Linked DNA regions of Canis lupus familiaris. The protein of the gene in region 2 interacts with the protein of the main gene of each other region in a biochemical or structural test. Links are inferred from orthologs where the notes say so. Each region holds a gene or a part of one and is shown on either strand. Other genes may lie near its edges.

Region 1 (3,714 bases), on a different chromosome or scaffold from region 2:
AAAACACCCCTCCTCTGTCTCTGAGTAGAGTTCCAGCTACCAGGACGGCTACCAGTGCCAGTGGTCATTGTGCTTTGGCCTGGCTTTCTCACCAGTGACTGTCAGGGGCCTAGAAATCTGTGTGTATGGGTCTGTATTTGAGGGAGGGTTTGCATGTATGGGAATGTGGGGTGCATGTGTGACGGGGGTGTCAGGTGTGTGTGGGGGGGTGGGGGATACGTTTGTATGGGAATGAATGGGGTGCGCATGTGAAGGGAGTGTGGGGACATTTATGTATGTGGATGAGGAGGGGTGCGTGAGTGAGGGGGTGGGGGATACGTTTGTGGAAGGGGGGATGGTATTCTTTTGCCCGTAGCTGCCTCTCAGATAATCGCACTTCATGCCCTCACCACAGTCATAGTTTGGGTCAGGATGAGGTCTCCATTAGGTGAAGAACTGAGATTCCGGTGATGTGCTTTGGTCCCAGGGTGGCCAGAATCACCCCTGACGTTGCCTGCTCCCAGCCGCACCCAGGCCTTCTCTAGTTTTGAGGGCACTTGGCTGTGGAGCCCTCGGGCTTGTATGTCTTTGTAGCCAGTGGCTATGAGCTTGGGTTCAAACCAGGGTCCTTCTGGGGTCAGAGGCTAGAAGCAGGACCTGCCCTGCGACCCAAAGCGGGAAGAAGAGCCCTGCCAGGGCCTTTCCCGGCTGCACTGGTCTCCCCAGGCCCCCCTTTCTGCTCCCGCACGGCTTTGCTGCATTCTCTGTCATTCTGCCACTGCCTCTGGCTGGAGAAGACCCGGGCCTGGCCAATTCTCTCACCAACTGGGGGAGTTTCTCGTTTTGGGGGTATGGGGGGCTGATGTGGTGTCAGGCTCAACGTTGATGGAGGTGCAGGGCCGCCCCTCCTGGTTTCGAGTGTGTGTGCGCACCGAGGAGGAGGTGGCCAGAATACACTTCCTGCTGCGTCTTGGCTCCTTCCCAGGCTTGGTGTGTCACTGAAACCTCACAGCCCAGGGCCAGGAGAGAGAAACCTGTGATTTGTGGTGACCGTGTCTGTGTGGCATTGTCTGCAGGTGGCGTGCGCACAGATGTCTGCCGCTGCATGTTCAGCCCCTGGAACTACTTTTGCCTCGGCTTTCTCACGAGAGTAGTGGCAGTTGAGTGAAACAGCGCTGCCAAAACCTGCTCCAGAGTAGTTTGTTTTAGCAGCTGCTGTTTGACTTTTCTGTGCATCCTCTGAAGAGCCTCCTGACCGAAGTGTGTGGGGATGTGTGGAGGAGGCCCAGTCTGTGACTCCTGAGGGCTATGAACAGCAGCTGTCTCTGGTCCTCATCCAGCTGCCTCCAGGGCTTCTGGGATCGGGCCTCCAGCGGGTGGACCGGATAGGGCTCTGTTAGGCAGAGCTCTGAGTGTCTGCACTAGTGTCATGTCTCTCCTCTCGCACACTCAGTCCTCCCGTCTTGGCCCCTCTAAACGTCCCTCCTGGCAGCTTGGGCCTCTCCCTTGTCCTCCTTCTCTCTGGATTCAGCATCTCCAGTTCATACCCCTTGGGACACCGCTGATGTTCCTTTCTCTTCTAGGAGGGACTCCAAAGCCAGAGCCAGAACAGGTGATAAAAAAATATACGGAAGAGCTGAAAATGGCCTCAGATGAGGTATGTGTCACAGGAGCCACGCTGCCTCTGGTTTTGTTTGGAGGCAAGGGGTGGCTCCTGAGGTGAAAGATACTGGCCTTTCTCTGCTGAGTGGGTACTTCCCTAAGGTTCCGGCCTTGTTTCGGGTACTCGGGTTTAATCACCCAGCCTCCCACGGGAGGCAGGCCTTACCAGGAGGAGGTGATCTGGCTTCAGGGGCCTGCATTCTGGTTTTAGCTTTGCTGCTGATGAGCTGTAGTTCTGAGCAAGGCTCCTACACGGGCCTCTGTGTAGCCCTCTTCCTGTGCCACTCTGGGGCCTTGGAGGGTCCTGGAGACAAGGGATGGGAGAGCCTGCCCATTCCCCGAGGACCGAGCTGGGGAAAAGTAGTGACTTTGTCCCCAAAGCAGCCCTGCCCCTCTGGCTATTGGGAGAGCTGGTTAGCCTTCCTGTAATTACAGGGCCTGCAGACCCTCATAGCAGTTTCAATAGGACCCGATCCTCTGTGCTGAGCCGTGTTTTGGGGTCTACAGTGCCACTGGTCTCTGATTTGAATGGAGAGCTCCAAGGACTCTGAGGGTGGTGGGTGGGAGTCATGGGTTAAAGGGTAGTTACGCCAGTACAGAACCACATACTCTGCCTGTGCAGGACTCTCCTGCAGCTCTGGGTGAAAAAGGTTCAGTAACCTGGAGGCCATCCTTGTGTCTCCCACCATCCCTCCAGCCCTGTCTATGCTCCCACCTGACAGCGCCCACATCAGTGTCCTTGTCTTTGCCCTTGTGGCCCTGCCATACCTGGGCTGCTCCATGCCAGCCTCCTGTCCTCCAAGCTGCCACTCAGCTTACACACAGTTGTGATTGTGCTGGTACCCCCAACCTTAAAACTCCTCTACAAGGCCCCTGACGTGTGAGACAAAGCCCAGCTCCTGAGTGTGGCCATCAGAACCTTCGGGGACCTGGTCCTGTCCCGTCTGGCTTTTTATACCCTACTTACCCCTCGGCCCCGGTGGCTGCCACTGCTGTTCCCAGACTCTGCTGGTTCCTGCTTCACGACATTCTCTGCACTTTCCTTGGACTGTGTATTCCCATCCTTGCTCACCTTGTCCTTTTTTCCTTGTGATACCCCACTTCAAGGGCCTCGCCTCTCAGCCTGCCTGTTCTTTCCCCTTTCCCTGCCTCTGTGTGGCCTGTGCTTGTGGTTGTCTGTTTTCCCCTTGACTGTGGTGAGCCCTTTGAGGGCACAGATCCTGGTGACTCACCGGTCTTTCCAGCCTCTGGGACAGCTGACTACCAGACTGCCCAGAATCCTGGTGTTTCAGCAGAGGAAGGCCTTTTCCTATTAAGAATACCTCCACGCCTGTGGCTCAGCAAGCTGTTGGTGAGCATGCCCTGTGCTGGTCTCCTTCCAGGACTGCATCATCTGTATGGAGAAACTGTCCGTGGTGTCCGGGTACAGCGACGTGACCCACAGCAAGACCATTGGGCCAGTGGCAGTGGGCCGCCTTGCCAAGTGCAGCCATGCCTTCCACCTGCTGTGTCTGCTGGCTATGTACTGCAATGGGAACAAGGTGCCACACCTCTGTCCCTGGGATGGGCGGGGGGCCCGGGTGACCTGCCCATGGGCCTGCCCTGGTCCTGCTGCATCTGACTGACTGCCGCTGCCCTGCAGAGGGCCCAGGACACCCTAGGAGGCAGCCTTGAGATGTCGGCAGGCCTTGGCCTGCAGCAGAAAAGAGGTTGGCCACTGGGGGGCTGAGGGTGGCAAGTGACACCTGGGTGCCATTCTGCAGGGGAGTTTAACCAGAGTGGACGGAGGTTAGGAGGACAGAGAGAAAGACCTGAGTCATGTGGCAGACCATTGGGCCTGGCTTCCTCTCCCTGAAGTATCCCTGTGCTCTCTGAACCAGCCAGGGTGCCAGCACCAGCAGTGATAGGTCACAGGGTTTTTTGTTTGATTTGAAACCTGTCAGACCATAGATTCTTCTGTGCATAAACCTGATTTGCCTACTTGATGCCAGTCTCCTAGTAGAACATCTTTCCAGGGAAGCCGTGAGGATTGGGTTTCTTTTCTTTCTTTCTTAAGATTTTATTTTATTTTTT
Region 2 (3,600 bases):
ACAGGAATGAGTCTTTTTTTAACCGCAGAACATTGTTTAGGCAACTTTTCCTATTTGTTTTTTTCTTGAAAGCTTTGAGGGTGAAATGAAAAGATCTTTCCCCCCTCCACACTGAAACAGAGAATAGCTCCAGAAGAGACAGTGGCTGGGGGATTGAGCATGTGAAGGACTTTTCTCTGTAAACTTCCAGAAACTTTTTAAGTTTTCACCATATTCAGGTATTTTATTTTTCAGTCTTTCTCCTTTTATTCAAATGGAATTTTGCCATAGAATTCAATGTAATTAAATTATTTATTAAAGATCTTTATTAAAAAAAAAAAAAGATCTTTATTCATGAGACATCAGAAACAGAGACACAGGCAGAGGGAGAAGCAGGCTCCCTGCGGGGACCTCAACACAGGACTGGATCCCAGGACCCCGGGGTCACGCCCCGAGCCAAAGGCACTCAACCACTGAGTCACCCAGGTGCCCCAAATTTTGTATTTGGGATATTAAATTGTGTCCCCCCCCCCCCCGCCCACGAATGTACAGGCCTGGGATTGGACTTGTGTTTCTGAGACCCCAGGCCTAAGGAAGTTGTACGTCTGAGCTCCACTGAGTGTCCACCAGATGCCTCCGTGTGTGTATCTAGTACAAGGCGGCGTAGGTGGTACAGGAAGGCCAAAGGACATTCTAGAAAGTTCGGTGGACTTCCAGACGCCTCTCGAATAGGTGCGGGCAAAGCGTGCGGGGTTTCTGCGCCCCCTTCTAGCCTTCGGCCGTCCCGCACCCCCTGCTCCCCCGCTGCCCCAGCCCAGCCCGGGCCCACCTCCCGCCCCGCGCCGCGATCTGTCGAGTCATCCGTCCTGTCCGCGCCCGCGCGGGGGGATGGGCGGGCCGCAGGCCCCGGCGCGAGGACCCCTGCGGTCGCGGAGGGGCGAGGGACCACGACGCCCAACCCCTCTCCGCCCAGGGCGGGTCTCGAGAGCCGCGGGGACCGCTGCGGCCGAGGGGAAGGGGTGTCTGGGTCCCGCGGCAGGGGCAGCTCGCCCCGGACGCCCGGCGATTCCGCGCCGGGTTTTCCCGTCTCCCGCGGGCCCTGTTCTCCGCGCTCGCCCCCTCCCCCCTCCCCCCTCGCATCCGGCGCCGGCCACGTCCGCGGACGCAGCACTCAACGGGCGCGCTGATCCCTCCGCGCGGGCGCTCGGGACCGCGGCCCTCTCCTCGCCAGATTCAGCCCTACAGCCCAGCCTTGACAGGTCGACGTTTCCGGGGGCTCCTAGAAGATTCTGGGGCAGTGGTTTTCTCCCTGGAGGCCAGGAAGACGGTGAAAAGTAGTCCCTTCTCGGCGTTTCTGCGCAGGGATCCGCCGGAGCGGCGCGGCCGATTGTTATATAAGGAGGCGCCGGGCGTGGCGCAGGCAGTTCCGTGGAGGCCGGGAGGTCGGTTGTTCGTCTCCGTGCGCTTCTGTCACAGCCGCTTGGTGAGGAGCGGGCCGCTGCGCGGGCCTGGGGGTCTTGGGGCCCTGCAGGGGCGGGGGGCCGGGCAGCCGGCTGCCCGGGGAGTTGCCCGCGGCGCCGGAGCGCGGTTACTCTTGGGGGGGGGGGCGCAGCAAAATGGCGTCCGCTACGGCTCCTGTGCGGGGAGAAGCCGAGGTGCGAGGGGCCGTGAGGAGCCCGGGAGACGGGATGGCTGTGAGCGGGCGAGACGCGCCGAGCCAGTGGGGCCCTGACGGGGCCCTCTGCGCAGTGAGTGGGGGCGGGAAGCCCCTGTGTGCTCCGCGGCCCCGCTGGCGCCACGCTCCGTGTCCGGTCGCGGCGAGTGGGCCCGAAGTGCCGGAGCAGTCCTGCGCCCGTTTGGGGGGAGGGGGCCCGCTCGTCGCGTCGGTCATGTGATGTCATCGCTTTGTCAGCTAACAATCCGGGGTGGGGCCGCGTGTTCCTGTGTGTGGAGCCGGCTTGGGTCAGTCGCGGGGCACAAGGGTTAGGCGGGGCGGGGGAGGGGAGATCCTGCGGATTGTCCGGTCCAGACATCACTGAGGGGGGAGGGGAAGATACGGAAGCCGGCGCCTTCACTTGACCGGTATCCATGCTTTCTCTCCTCCTGGGGCCTGGAACTTGGTTTTGGAGCTTATTTGAGTTTCCAAAACCTGTCCTGTTTCTTCGCCTTAGGTTTTTTGGCGAGGTTTATTTTAGTTCTTGGGTTAGTGTAAAATGACCAGTAACTGTTAGCGTTCTATTCACATGTGAGTGGTCTGTTACACTCCGGATTGTTTTTTTTGTTTTTTTGGGTTTTTTTGTGACAGACAATGCAGATCTTCGTGAAGACTTTGACGGGTAAGACCATCACCCTGGAGGTGGAGCCCAGTGACACCATCGAGAACGTCAAGGCGAAGATCCAGGACAAGGAGGGCATCCCCCCTGACCAGCAGAGGTTGATCTTTGCTGGCAAACAGCTGGAAGATGGGCGCACCCTGTCCGACTACAACATCCAGAAGGAGTCCACTCTGCACCTGGTCCTTCGCCTCAGGGGGGGCATGCAGATCTTCGTGAAGACCTTGACGGGTAAGACCATCACCCTGGAGGTGGAGCCCAGTGACACCATCGAGAACGTCAAGGCGAAGATCCAGGACAAGGAGGGCATCCCCCCTGACCAGCAGAGGTTGATCTTTGCCGGCAAACAGCTGGAAGATGGGCGCACCCTGTCCGACTACAACATCCAGAAGGAGTCCACTCTGCACCTGGTCCTTCGCCTCAGGGGGGGCATGCAGATCTTCGTGAAGACCTTGACGGGTAAGACCATCACCCTGGAGGTGGAGCCCAGTGACACCATCGAGAACGTCAAGGCGAAGATCCAGGACAAGGAGGGCATCCCCCCTGACCAGCAGAGGTTGATCTTTGCCGGCAAACAGCTGGAAGATGGGCGCACCCTGTCCGACTACAACATCCAGAAGGAGTCCACTCTGCACCTGGTCCTTCGCCTCAGGGGGGGCATGCAGATCTTCGTGAAGACTTTGACGGGTAAGACCATCACCCTGGAGGTGGAGCCCAGTGACACCATCGAGAACGTCAAGGCGAAGATCCAGGACAAGGAGGGCATCCCCCCTGACCAGCAGAGGTTGATCTTTGCCGGCAAACAGCTGGAAGATGGGCGCACCCTGTCCGACTACAACATCCAGAAGGAGTCCACTCTGCACCTGGTCCTTCGCCTCAGGGGGGGCATGCAGATCTTCGTGAAGACCTTGACGGGTAAGACCATCACCCTGGAGGTGGAGCCCAGTGACACCATCGAGAACGTCAAGGCGAAGATCCAGGACAAGGAGGGCATCCCCCCTGACCAGCAGAGGTTGATCTTTGCTGGCAAACAGCTGGAAGATGGGCGCACCCTGTCCGACTACAACATCCAGAAGGAGTCCACTCTGCACCTGGTCCTTCGCCTCAGGGGGGGCATGCAGATCTTCGTGAAGACCTTGACGGGTAAGACCATCACCCTGGAGGTGGAGCCCAGTGACACCATCGAGAACGTCAAGGCGAAGATCCAGGACAAGGAGGGCATCCCCCCTGACCAGCAGAGGTTGATCTTTGCCGGCAAACAGCTGGAAGATGGGCGCACCCTGTCCGA
Region 3 (3,814 bases), on a different chromosome or scaffold from region 2:
CAGGAGGAGAGTGGGTTGGCCGCTGCCGCTCAGCGGTGCTCGTGCGTCTGCGAGGCGTCGGCCGCAGCTTCCTGCTCCCGCGCCACCGCGGCCCAGACCTGAGGCCGGACTTCCTCCTCGCACGCCAGCGGCCCCCGGCATCCCAGCTTCCCCTACAAGTCGCCCTTTGGAATCAGATTCATCTTGGAAGCCCAGGGCCGCCTGCCCTGTGTCCATTTGACAGGAGGGGTGGCGCGTGCTGCAGCCCTGCCATCCCGGAGACGTGGCTGCAGAGGCCTGAGTCCCAGGGCCTGGGCCGCACGGCTTCCCAGCCTCCGCCTTCCTCCCTTGGGGTGAGCTGAAGGCTCGGAGGCCCTTGCCCCCCTGAGGCTGTGCTGCCGGTGAGGCCGGAGGTCGCCAGGCTGCCCGGGCTGAGGCTGCGTCTGCCACCGGCAAACACAGAAGTGCCCGAAGTGAGAACGCATCTGGCACCTCTTGTTTCTCCGTAGATGATATGTGTCGTTAAACGGTACCAAACTCATGAAGTCAGAAACCGAAATCCAGAGAATGTCCCTGTTCCTCTGCAAGTGCTGTTTTGGAGAATTTGATTAATTTTCTGTGTGGTGCGCAAAGTGACGTGTGACTCTGCAGAAGTTTAAGGACGCGCAGCGACCCGGCCCCCTCCCGTGTGGGCAGCCCGGGCACCTAGTGTGCATCCGGTTCAGGGGCTCGTACCCCCACCCCCACCCCGGGAAGCAGGTGCCTCGGAATGTACCGCAGACCCTGCCTGTCCCCTGCTGGTTGTTTCCCAGCTGCATCAGGAGGTGTCCAGAGGCGCCCCCAGGTGCCCAGCTGCACGGCGAGGAGCCCCAACTGCTGTCCCAGTGCTGGCTGCCCGGACCTGTGAGGACGTCGGTCCCTGGCACGGGGGAGAGTCCAGAAATGCTGAGAAGAGTGGCCAGCACCCGCAGTGCGCTCGGGGAGCGGCTCCTGGTCAGGAGGGCGGGGGTGAGGACAGAGGACGGCTCCTCCCAGGAGGAGCTAGTGACCCGTCCACGCCCGCGGCTTTGCTCCCAGGCCTGGCTGGCTCCAGGCACGCAGCTGGGGCCCCTGGCCTCCGTGTTGCTTGAGGGCCCCGGTGAGCCGGTGGAGGCGGCCCCCGCGCTGCGGAGCCCAGTGCCCTGTTCTGAGCCGAAGGAGCAGAGGGCACTGCGAGCGCCCGTGCCCACCAGGTGCTGGTGCTCTGAGGACAAAGCTGCGGGGCTGGGGGCAGCGGTGCCTCCTTGAGGGGAGCGGCCAGCGATGCCCGGATCTGAGTCCAGGTGACTCGTTTAGCGGCCTGGCTGGCTGCTTGCCTGGAGCCCGGCCCGCTTGGTACCTCTGGGGAAGGTGGGCAGAGCCGGGCTGGCGGAGGCCCCGGCCCCTGGGCCCTGGATCATCAACAGTCCCCTGCTGTGCGGCAGCCCGGCTGGGGAGGTCGGGGTTCCAAACTAGGCAGCGAGGTGCTGGCTCAGCCTCCCGGCTTCTCCGGAGCCACCAGCCTCCTCTGGGTAAGGCACAGATGCAGCTTCTGAAGGGCCACCAGCCACGGGGACACTCCCAGGTGCCCGAGGGTCGTCCCTTGTCCAGGTCCACGTGTCCGGAGATGGGGTGACCCATGTGGCCCTGGCCTGGGGGTGGAGGCAGAGCCAGACCGAGTGCCTGATTGGCACGCTCCGGTGGACCCTGGGCTCGTGCTGATAAGCCTGAGGGTGGGTCTGCAGGGCCAGAGTCCAGAATCTTCTGGGCAGGGGAGTGCCCTCCCGGTGGGTGTGCCCTTGGCTAAGCTGCTGTCGCGGAGCCTGCCTTCTGCGAGGGGAGGGCCCCTTCCCAAGTGCTGCGGTGTGACCAGGCCGGTCGTGGGGTGGCAGGGCTCGAGCGCAGCGTGGGCATCCCCGACAACGGCTGGTGCCCTCGGGCCCCCTTGAGTATGGGGCCCAAGCCTGCGGTCCTGTCTGTGCAGGACGGGCTGCGGAGCAGGTGCGTCTGCCGCGCGCCTTTGGTGTTTCTTCCCCCGAAGCACCCGCGCAGGCCTGATGGCCCATCCCTGTTGCACCCTGCCCGTCCGGGGGGCAGGTGGGGCTGGGGGTGGCAGGAAGGTCGAAGTGCCTGGCTTCACTCTGGCCGGCCCCGCCTGTCCTCGGGCTCGTGGCTGGCCTTCTGGGGGGTGGCCACCAGGTGCAGGGAGCAGCAGTGTTCTGGGGTGCCCCCCAGCAGGCCGCTATCCGTCATCCCTCCCCTGTGCCCCTGCCTTGGGGCTGACCTGGGGGTTGCTGCAGTTCGTGAGGACGGGGAGATTTGAGGAGGCTTGTCCTGGGCCGGGTGGGCAGTCGCGGACTTGGGACACCATGTTCACCGCCTCCCCCGGGAGCCATAGGGCGGCATGGGGAGTGCGCGCAGTGGGACGTGGTTGTGGGGGCCGCCCGGAAGAGGCATCACTAAGCAGCACGCATCGGTGCAGGGCTCGGACCATTGGACTCTGGGGCCCCGGGGCATGGGAAGAGCGGGACATAAACACCCCTGCTCGGGCTCCTGGTCCCCTCCACTGCCTTACTTGCTCACGGGCTGCTGACTCCTGCCGGCCATCGCTTTGCCCCGGTCCTTGCCCTGGCAAAGTCTCCCTGGGCAGAAGCAGCTCGCCTGCATCCCTGCACTGCGGCACCCCGCCCCTGCTCCCCCCACCCCGTGCTGGGGCCCGCAGGGGCAGGGGGGAGCAGGTGGGCTCGGGTGATGGGTCCTGCCGTGACCGAAGCAGGTGCTCCCCGCACGGGGTCGTAAAGAGGGGTTGTCTTCTTGGGGTGTCGTGCTAGGCACGTGCCCCACCCCAGGCGGGGGGCAGGACGGCGGCCCCACCTCCATGGCTGCCTGAGGCCAGATCTAGGCCACTGCCCCGTTTAAATGTAGGGCAGGGACTCCTGAACGAGAGCAGGGAGGACCAGTGCGGCACCCTGTCGCGGAGCACCCGCCCGTCCGCATGATACAGCATGCGGGAGGCTGGCGTCCCCACGGCGTGCGCTCCGGCTTCTGCCCGGAGAGACGCACTCTGCTTCATTCTTCAAGGCACAGCAGCCAGACGGGCGCCCTGAGGGGCAGCCTGCAAACATCGTCGGTCACCTGGCGCGCGCTGGACGCCAGGCTGTTTCCCAGGCAGGCGGAGATGCACAGGGGGTGGGTGTTGCACCCGGCACCTGCCGGCCTGGCCCGCGCCCGTGCCCCCGCCCGGAGAGTGAGGCCGCGCGGGCTGCTTTGCCCACCCAGCAGGCCCCGTGGGGGAAGGGCGGTGGGACGCTTGTCACCTGGAATCGGGGTTTCCTCTGCCCCTCGGGAGGTCCTCGCCTGAGCTTCGTATCAGGTTCCGAGGCCTGGGGAGCAGGCTGTGTGAACGCCCCCTGTGCTGCGTTACGGCGACATGGAGCTGGGACGAGAGCCAGGGACTGGCCCCAGGCAGCGTGGGGCTGCTCAGCCAGGGTACTCCACCAGGGGCTCCTACTCCCACGTCCTCTCCCCACCCCCAGACGTCGGGGTGCCGTCATCCCTGAAGACCCCGAGACAGGCCCTCCTGTGCCAGCGGCTCTTGGGGAGAGCCCTTCCAGCCGTCAGGGAGACGGACCCGGGCTGCCAGCCTGTAGCCCACCCTGGAGGCCGCCCACCTGCCTGGCAGGGCCTGCAGGGTCAGGGGTCGCTGGGGGTGCCAGGAAGCCGGTGCAGCTGCTATAGCCGCTGCGAGGCTCGGGGGCAGCTCTGTGGCGGGTGGAGCGCTCCCTGCCGCTGCAGACCCTGCACATCAGCACTGTTG

The links.
Region 1: the proteins of UBC (region 2) and DTX2 form a complex in vitro, tested with the Homo sapiens proteins (2 studies listed by BioGRID, with this or other methods). The link is inferred for Canis lupus familiaris from reciprocal best matches to the Homo sapiens genes UBC and DTX2.
Region 3: the proteins of UBC (region 2) and CAPN15 form a complex in vitro, tested with the Homo sapiens proteins (3 studies listed by BioGRID). The link is inferred for Canis lupus familiaris from reciprocal best matches to the Homo sapiens genes UBC and CAPN15.

Annotation. Positions count from the first base shown.
Region 1 is NC_049227.1:7,551,736-7,555,449, forward strand, and holds part of DTX2 (probable E3 ubiquitin-protein ligase DTX2), read left to right. Parts: intron 1-1,562; coding exon 1,563-1,636; intron 1,637-3,023; coding exon 3,024-3,182; intron 3,183-3,714. UniProt on the Homo sapiens protein: Regulator of Notch signaling, a signaling pathway involved in cell-cell communications that regulates a broad spectrum of cell-fate determinations.
Region 2 is NC_049247.1:5,228,743-5,232,342, forward strand, and holds the start of UBC (polyubiquitin-C), read left to right. Parts: upstream 1-1,303; 5' UTR 1,304-1,462; intron 1,463-2,284; 5' UTR 2,285-2,287; coding exon 2,288-3,600.
Region 3 is NC_049227.1:40,481,659-40,485,472, reverse strand, and holds the start of CAPN15 (calpain-15), read left to right. Parts: upstream 1-1,401; 5' UTR 1,402-1,529; intron 1,530-3,814.